Nothobranchius furzeri: one gene and its partner. Each later gene encodes a partner of the first gene's protein in a complex. Links are inferred from orthologs where the notes say so. Each region holds a gene or a part of one and is shown on either strand. Other genes may lie near its edges.

Region 1 (3,816 bases):
GTCACATATTTTTGTTTTGTTAACCTGAAGTACTTGTTCCGTGTGTCTTTATTTGGTAAAATTATCTCATATTCATTGCAATTATTTTGACAAAAAATATTTGGTTTACATTTGTGCTAGAAACAAATTTCAGTGTTAATTAAAAAAAAACATGGTGTCAAATGTGATTTGCCAAAAGGAAACATTGTTGTGACATAGGGCTGGGTGATATGGCCTAAAATCAATATCACGAGATATTGAGGATTTCACCTCGATAACGATAAATGGATGATATATCTACAGGCATGCGCAGAAGCAAAAGTTGTCCACTAGATGGGGCTGTCACACGTATTAAAGGGATACGAACACTGCCAACCTACACACATCTTTTCATTTTTTTAATTATCAAATTTATTGACATGAGGAAAATTATCTCTATAAGAGTCGGAAATTTCGATTACGAAAAATTTTTGATTTATTGCCCAGCCCTACTGTGACACTAACCATCCACCCTCAACTGTAGAATTTTATTATGCTTGTATTGTTGTGTAGGAACAGCTATGCCGCTACAATTCATCAGGCATGGCAGCCCAGTGCAAAGGCTACGTTGAGGTGCCGAAAGGCAGCGAGCACGCCTTGGCCATGGCGCTCTTCAAAGCTGGTCCAGTGTCGGTGGGCATCGACGCAACGCAGCCCAGCTTCCAGTTATATAGGAAAGGTGAGCAAACCGCTGACAGGTTGTCTGATCCTGCTTTGGGGCTGAAATTCTGTCATCTGAAAATGTTTCATGTTTTTCCTTAAACACAAATTTGTTTTATTCATTCCTACTCAACTTGAATGTGAGGTAATTTAATAACCCTGAGTATTTGGACATCCCTAAACCATGGCTGGGTTAATGATAACTTGGCCTTGCGAGCCATCCTATACATGTAAATATATAGTCTGGCCACGACCCTCAGTCGCAGGGGCGGGATCTACGGTTGTCTGTCAAACTGTCTCTGGATACTATTGGACAGTGTTAGCACCAATCAGAGCAACATAAAGCATTCATACCAATGAAAATCAGCCAGTGATGCAGTCCACCACCATCAAAGAAAAGTCCTAGTCTAAACTGTCCAAACTTGATGCTAAAGTCATTTCAAATGAGTGCTGTTCTTGAGTTCCCACCATTGCTGTTGTTTTGCTGGATTGCAGCTCTGTCGTCATTGTAAAAAATAAAAAAGGCTCAGGGCAAACTTTTGCTATAGCTGTGGTTGGTCTAGATTTCTAGGTTAGAAAAACATAAATCCAGAGTTTTGTCTCTGAGGCACCATCTAGAGGCAGAAAAACGTATCGCACCTTAAACCCTTCTCCCTGCTTCCGTGATTACGGCTGGAAGCAACGCCTACTGTTCACAAATGTGCGCCTCTGGCCAGTGTTAATTTTGTTGATAAAATATTTTTGTTTTGTTTTTTCATGACAAATGAATTTTTGCTAATGAACACAAAACAACTGTAGTGTTTTCAACAGGAATGTTGGTGACACCGAGTTAAACCACAAATGAAGACCCTGGAGTTTAGCTGCAGCTTGTTTAATTGTCTCATGAACATGTGGTGAAAACTGAAATGACAGAAAATAGACTCCATCTTAACAGATAGAAGCATGTTTACATCCAAAAAGTGCATTACTCTCACTGAAACATTCATGTTAGCAAAATATACACTAATATCCAAAGCTATTAGTATAAACTGTCATATAAAGCAACTTACGGCGTTCCAGCCTGATAATTCAGAGAAGATGGCATCTGATTACATCTCCACGCTGCCTTCTGCATGAAGCGCCTGTTTCTCTGCGAAAACAGTGTTTGACCAAAACCGGAAGTGCACCGCCAGAACAGGAAGTACATTTTAGCGATATTTTCTTTTTAACTAAAACACATATAAAGCATGAATTATTCATTTTAACAACACATATCAATGTTTTTAATGACAAATCCTTTTAGAATTATTTACTTCAAACTTATGAACCTATTTATTCAGAGAAAGCCTTAAGGGCAACACACTCCCCGCCTGGCCTCGGGAGGCCACTATGCTAAACAAACATTATGCATTCAGTCCTTTGGCATGAGGAGGATAACTTCTGTAACCGGTCACATAAATGTCTTTATGCACCCTTGATCGCATGTCTTCACTTCAATTTCCCTTACTCGATTGTCCTTGCTTGGGAATGTGGCAGAGACCCTGGCCATGGGCCAGTTGTTTCGCGCAGCCTGCTTATCCTTTAACAGAACCAGGTCGTCAACTTGGAGGTTTCTGCACAACCCAGTCCATTTCTGCCTTTGCTGCAATGTGGGTAGATACTCTCGTCTCCAGCGTGTCCAGAACTGATTGGAAAGGGCTTGGACCCTTCTCCATTGTTTGTTGTAAAGGTCTTTATCCGAAAAGTCTCCAGGTGGGGGTGGGAGGCAAGATTTTGCGTAAGGAGCATTGAAGGGGATAGGATGAAAGGGTTCTCTGGATCAGAGGACACTGGGACGAGCGGCCTTGCATTTATTATGGCTGCAACATCAGCCATAAGTGTGCACAACACGCCATGAGTCAGTTGAACCTTGTTTTGTAGTAGCATGGAGTCCAGGATTCTGCGGGCGACTCCAATCATGCGCTCCCAAGAACCTCCCATGTGGGATGCATGCGGTGGATTAAACCCCCAACTGCAGCCTTGGACAGTTAGGTACTGTTGGAGTGATTTGTCCATTTCAAGTTCCTTTGAAGTGCTAATAAAATTGGTGCCACGGTCAGATAGCAGCTGTTTGGCGGGGCCTCTTAGAGCGAAGAAGCGGCGGAGGGCATTTACACAGCTGGACGTGTCCAGAGATTCGATTACCTCAATATGCACGGCTCTCGAACTCATGCAGCTAAACATGATGGCCCACCGCTTACTTTCAGCTACTCCACCCCTAGTACGCCTGGTTGTTATGAACCACGGTCCGAACACGTCAAGGCCGACGTAGTTGAAAGGAGGACAGGTTTTTAGGCGTTCAGGTGGTAGATCCGCCATGAGTTGTTGTTCTTGTTTTCCACGTAGTTTGCGACAGATTACACATTTGTGGATCACTGAATTGATTAGTTTTTTGCAGCCTAAAAGCCACAGCCCCGCGGCTCTGATTGCTCCTTCCGTCAGATGACGACCTTGGTGCTTTGTGAGCTCGTGGTAATGGCGAGTGATCAGAAGGGAGATGTGACTGCCTTTGGGAAGAATCACTGGGCTCTTCTCAGCACTCTCAATTTCCGCATGTTTGAGACGGCCTCCAACAGAAATGAGACTGTCCTGTAACAATGGGCTGAGCTTCTTGAGGGGACTCTGTTTCGAGATTGGCTTGCCAGCATCAAGGGCAGAAAGTTCCTTCTCAAAGTATGCCTTCTGTGTCTCTTTGAAGACAACAATCTTTGCTTGAGCGACCTCCTCTGGGGTTTGAGGCAGATGACATTTGTGCCAGCCTTTGCATTTTTTGTTTGGATTAGTCCCATTGAAGGACTTTGCAATGTGGATGAGATTTGCTATGACTCTGACTAAAGATCTAAAGGTAGAAAAGTGCTAAAAACGCTTACAGATGAATGCTTGGAGGTGAGTGGCATAAGTTTTTACTTCTGGTCTAATTTCTGAGTCTTTATCTGGTTCAATCAGGTCAAACGTTCCACTCAGTTGTGTTATCTCTTTGGCAGGATGGTAGATGAAGGGTGGGCCGGTGAACCAGGTGGACCTTTTTAGTTGGAATGCTGACAATGACCTAGACGCATGGTCTGCTGGATTTTCCTCTGTGCGCACATAATGCCACTGTGCTGGCTTTGATGACTGGCG
Region 2 (4,303 bases), on another chromosome or scaffold:
TAGTATGAGGATTGCTGTATAGTGACTTGATGCAATGTGCTGGGTTCCTTATATAGGAAACATTATTTCTGATTGGCTTAATGAACTGTCCTGTATTGGAATGTTTATTATGTGAAGTGCCTTGAGACGACTCTTGTCATGATTTGGCGCTATATAAATAAACTTGAATTGAATTAATCCAGCCTTGGGTATGGTACTGGATCTGATGAAGGTACTAATCCTCCATCAGGCCACATTAAAACCAGAAGTGGATTAATGCCAACTTCTGACCCTGTTTACAAGGGATTGAAGGCAGTTGGAGACAATTTTATTTAGAACAGCTTTTAGAGAAGACTCCATAAGTGACACTTTTTATTGTATTAAAGAGCAAGCCACCCCCTAGCAGATTATTCTTCAACTCCCACTTCCTATTTGAAAAATGCAACAAATGCTGTTGCCTAGCAGACCGAGAGGGCGGAGCTGCTAACAAATACAATCACACACAGGCTCAACACAACATTGTGACATCATATGGTACCAGCTAACACCCTAGGGTACCTCTTAGCCAATAGCAATGGCAGATTTAAATTCAAATGCAGTGCAGAGTTTGTACCTGACAACAGCACAACACTGACAGTTTCACGCCGGGGACACACCGGCCGCGGAAGCGCCGAGAAGCGAATCGCTCACGAAATTCGGCCGCTGCTCGCCGCTCCTCAGTTCAGATCAGACGCGCCCTAGTCGAGGCGCGCCTCGGCTCAGCTGTAGTTTTTCTTTTAAACACTTGGTGTCCTCCATTTCCTCTCTGCCTTTTCTCAGCTCTTTTCCTCTACGTTTGAGTGTGTGTGTGTGTGTGTGTGTGTGTGTGAACCTATGGTATGAGTTCTTTCTGCCAGTTGAATCTCTTGGAACCCGCTCCAAGTCTGCAGCTGTATCCTAGCAGTTTCTTCAGAAATGAGCACATAAATAATCATGTTTTTCAGGGGTCGTACAGCTTCTTGTGTTTCTCAACTTCCATAATTAATTTAAAGTCATCCATCTTAACTGCTTGCCTCAGACTTTCTGCCTCTCTGTCCTGTTTGCTCCGGTGAAAAGACACCCAAAACCACTCCCCCCTTCACGTGGTCACACACGCACACAAGTTCGATGTGTGTGCGTGTTCGTGTGGTTTTTCTGCAGTGTCTGATTGCGAACACATTTGACTATTGAGGAATTTTATTTTGAAATGCTTTATTTTGTTAACTTTACCGGCCTGCCTCTTATGTCCAGGTTTGACTTCCTGCCAGAATTGACGCGATTCACCCGCGGCTCGCGAAAAAAATAGAGCCGATGCCGAAATGATCGCTGCACGGCGCGGGCTGGAGCGCCGGCACGAGGCGATTCGCGGCGCTTCGGCGGCCCATGTGGTCTATAGAATAGCTTAACAAGGGCGCCGAATGAAGGCGGTCCCATTTTCGCGGCGCTTCCGCGGCCGGTGTGTCCCCGGCGTTAGCCAGAAAATTAAAAATTTAACTAAAATGCACCAAAATGCTAAACTATTGAGTACACGTGTCTGTAGCACGATTACACACACATTTATATAGTTTATAAGAAAAAATAAGTAGATTTGGGGGTGACTTGCTCTTTAAGAATTTTATTTTACACCAATTTGTGATTATTTTTGAAAAGTGTTATAAACATGCTTTTATCATTTTATGACAACAAAAACTGTTGCATCATATGGGTATTAATTTGAACAGAAAATGACTTACAAGGCATTAATTCATACCAGGTAACCACAGCAGATGTATTGAAAAAAAGAAAAGGGAACGAGGCCTTTAAAGGACATCATTCCCCGTCCTTGTTTGATTTACATTTAGTGGTAAATTCATAGGAGAACTTGACAAATTCCATAATAATGTAATATAAGTCTTATGTCAATGTAAAAGTTTTAAAACAACATTTGCACGAGCTGCTGTGAACTTGTGGTTGGGATGCTTTCATTTTAATTGTGACTAGCTGTTAGCTCCTTGATCCAAACAGAACTAATCTCTGTTTCTCCAAACTGAAGCTTTTTAAAAAGCTACCTCCAACAGCTCAACTGTGGATTTATGCCTGATCACTTACATAAGCCCTTCTAAAGACTTTTGTTTTAGTCAGGAAGGATTTCAACAGTAGCATTCAGTCGTCTGCATTTTGTTGATTTAGTCTTTTTAAAAATACACACACACAGGCTCACAACAGCATTGTGACATCATAATGTACCAGTTTACATCATAGCATACCTCTTAGCCAATAGCGGTGGCAGATTTAAATTAAAATACAGTGCAGAGTTTTTTCCTGACAACGGCACAGCACTGCCAGTTTTAGGCAGAATATTTAAATTTTAACTATCTAACTACTGAAGTGCCAAATTATTTACACGTGTCTGCAGCACGATTAGACCCTCGTTTATTTAGTTTATCAGTAAAAAAAAGTTTATTTGGGGGTGACTTGCTCTTTAAGCACTTTGGCAGTCTGGTTAGCTAGTCTGCAAATCAATAAACATTTTCTCAGAACCCCGCCTTAAACTGTCTGGCTATCACTTTAAACAGGCCTTAGCACTGGAGGATAGCTCGTGACAAAAAGAGGATTTAGTTAGACACGTTCAGCTCTAGTTCTGGACACGTTTTCATCTGAAACCGACAACGAAAACCAACCGACCTGACTCTGAGCCTTTATCACTCCGACTACGCCGTGCTGGTACACGTCGTTGCTGCCTCGGTTGTACTGAGCAACGGCGAAGTTGAGAGCATTTTGGACCCCATCGTCATTAGGGTCTATGTCCTGTGGGCCACCAACGAGGCTACCGAGCCCGACGGCGAAAAGAACCACGAGAGGAAAGCCAATCTTCCACATCTTCGCTCGTTCACCGAAACTACGTATTGAGAAAATAGAGCTACAAGCTTGAACTTCCGGATTCTTCTTTATGTAAACAACAGCAAGAGCGCGAGCTTATCTCTCAGCCAATCAGGAATCACCGAGACACACACAAACCCCGCCTCTGAGGGGTTTCCGCCCCGCAGCCAGTTGAGGTAAAGGCTGCGTTCAGGAACGGATTATCCCGGAGGTTGCTCTCTCCAGACTGGAAGTGAGAACATTCCCTCCGGACACTTAAAACGTGACAAACAAGGTACGTTAAAAACGCGGAGGGGCACGGGGGGCAGATTTCGGCTCGCGCAACTTTTCGAAGTGCTGTGTGCAACCCCCCCCCCCCCCCAACAAATTAACCATTGTCGACCTTTATCCTGTTACAGCACAAAGAAACCTGAGCACGCGCACGTTTTGACCCTTCACAATGCAGAGACTGCAGCTTTTAAAGTAACAAATCCTTGCGGTGTTTTATGTTGATATGAAAAGTAAAAGTTTGATCTCATTATTTGATTTTCTGGACCCCCCCCCCCCCCCCCTGCAGGGACACTTTCTTTGGCCTGGATGTTGTCCAGCAGCAACTCCTTATCGGGTCTGCTGTGGCCTTGGCGGCAGGTGGAATTCTGGCATATGTCATGCAGAGGAGGAACAAAGCCAGATCTATCCCTCTTGGTGAAGGATGGTGGGGAGCAGGAGAGAAGACTCTCTCGGAGGATCACACGATCTACCCCTTTTCAGTGAAAACCTCAGATGAAGAGATTAAGGTGCTTGCAAAATACCAACCCAGTTTCTAACAACAGCAGCTTTAGTGTGAAGGAATCAGCTGTTATCTTGTTGAACAGGACCTCCATCGGCGCATCGACAGCTTCCGCTTCTCAGATCCTTTAGAAGACTGCGGCTTCAATTATGGCTTTAACTCCACTTACCTTAAGAAAGTGGTTTCGTACTGGAGGAATGAGTTTGACTGGAAAAAGCAGGTGGCGATGCTGAACAAGTATTCACACTTTAGAACCAAAATAGAAGGTACACACAGCTCCACGGGGTTCAAACGGGTTAGATTCAATGTTTTCTCTTGTAAAAACTTTTTCTGGTGCTGCAGGACTGGATGTGCACTTCATTCACGTGCGCCAGGCAGTCCGAGGGGACCAGAAGGTTCTGCCACTCATGCTCGTTCACGGCTGGCCCGGCTCTTTCTACGAGTTCTACAAGATTCTGCCCCTCCTCACCCAGAGCCAGGATGGAGTTGCATTTGAGGTCGTAATCCCCTCAATCCCTGGTTATGGCTTCTCAGAAGCCCCTTACAAACAAGGTAATTATGAATAACGTGTGCACACGTCTGCTTCTGCGGACAGCTGATGTTTTAGCAGTGTGCTTCCTGCTTCCTTTCCAGGATTTAACAGTCTGGCTGTTGCTCGGATTTTCCTGACACTCATGG

The links.
Region 2: the proteins of ctsk (region 1) and cst3 are in contact, whole or in part, in a crystal structure (PDB 8V57), measured with the Mus musculus proteins. The link is inferred for Nothobranchius furzeri from reciprocal best matches to the Homo sapiens genes CTSK and CST3. Residues at the interface, in NP_031828.2 of Mus musculus: Asn132, Gln133, Gly134, Gln135, Cys136, Gly137, Cys139, Trp140, Glu173, Asn174, Tyr175, Cys177, Gly178, Gly179, Gly180, Tyr181, Met182, Ser248, Ala251, Ser252, Gln257, Phe258, Val274, Asn275, His276, Ala277, Ser297, Trp298, Ser301, Trp302; in NP_034106.2 of Mus musculus: Pro27, Arg28, Met29, Leu30, Gly31, Ala32, Pro33, Gln75, Leu76, Val77, Ala78, Val80, Asn81, Tyr122, Pro125, Trp126, Lys127, Thr133.

Annotation. Positions count from the first base shown.
Region 1 is NC_091745.1:65,976,671-65,980,486, reverse strand, and holds part of ctsk (cathepsin K), read left to right. Parts: intron 1-531; coding exon 532-697; intron 698-3,816. UniProt on the Homo sapiens protein: Thiol protease involved in osteoclastic bone resorption and may participate partially in the disorder of bone remodeling. Displays potent endoprotease activity against fibrinogen at acid pH. May play an important role in extracellular matrix degradation.
Region 2 is NC_091752.1:310,590-314,892, forward strand, and holds the start of cst3 (cystatin C (amyloid angiopathy and cerebral hemorrhage)), read right to left. Parts: upstream 2,857-4,303; coding exon 2,662-2,856; intron 1-2,661. Other genes in the region: ephx5 (epoxide hydrolase 1), read left to right, coding at 3,296-3,318, 3,413-3,632, 3,711-3,891, 3,968-4,177, 4,259-4,303. UniProt on the Homo sapiens protein: As an inhibitor of cysteine proteinases, this protein is thought to serve an important physiological role as a local regulator of this enzyme activity.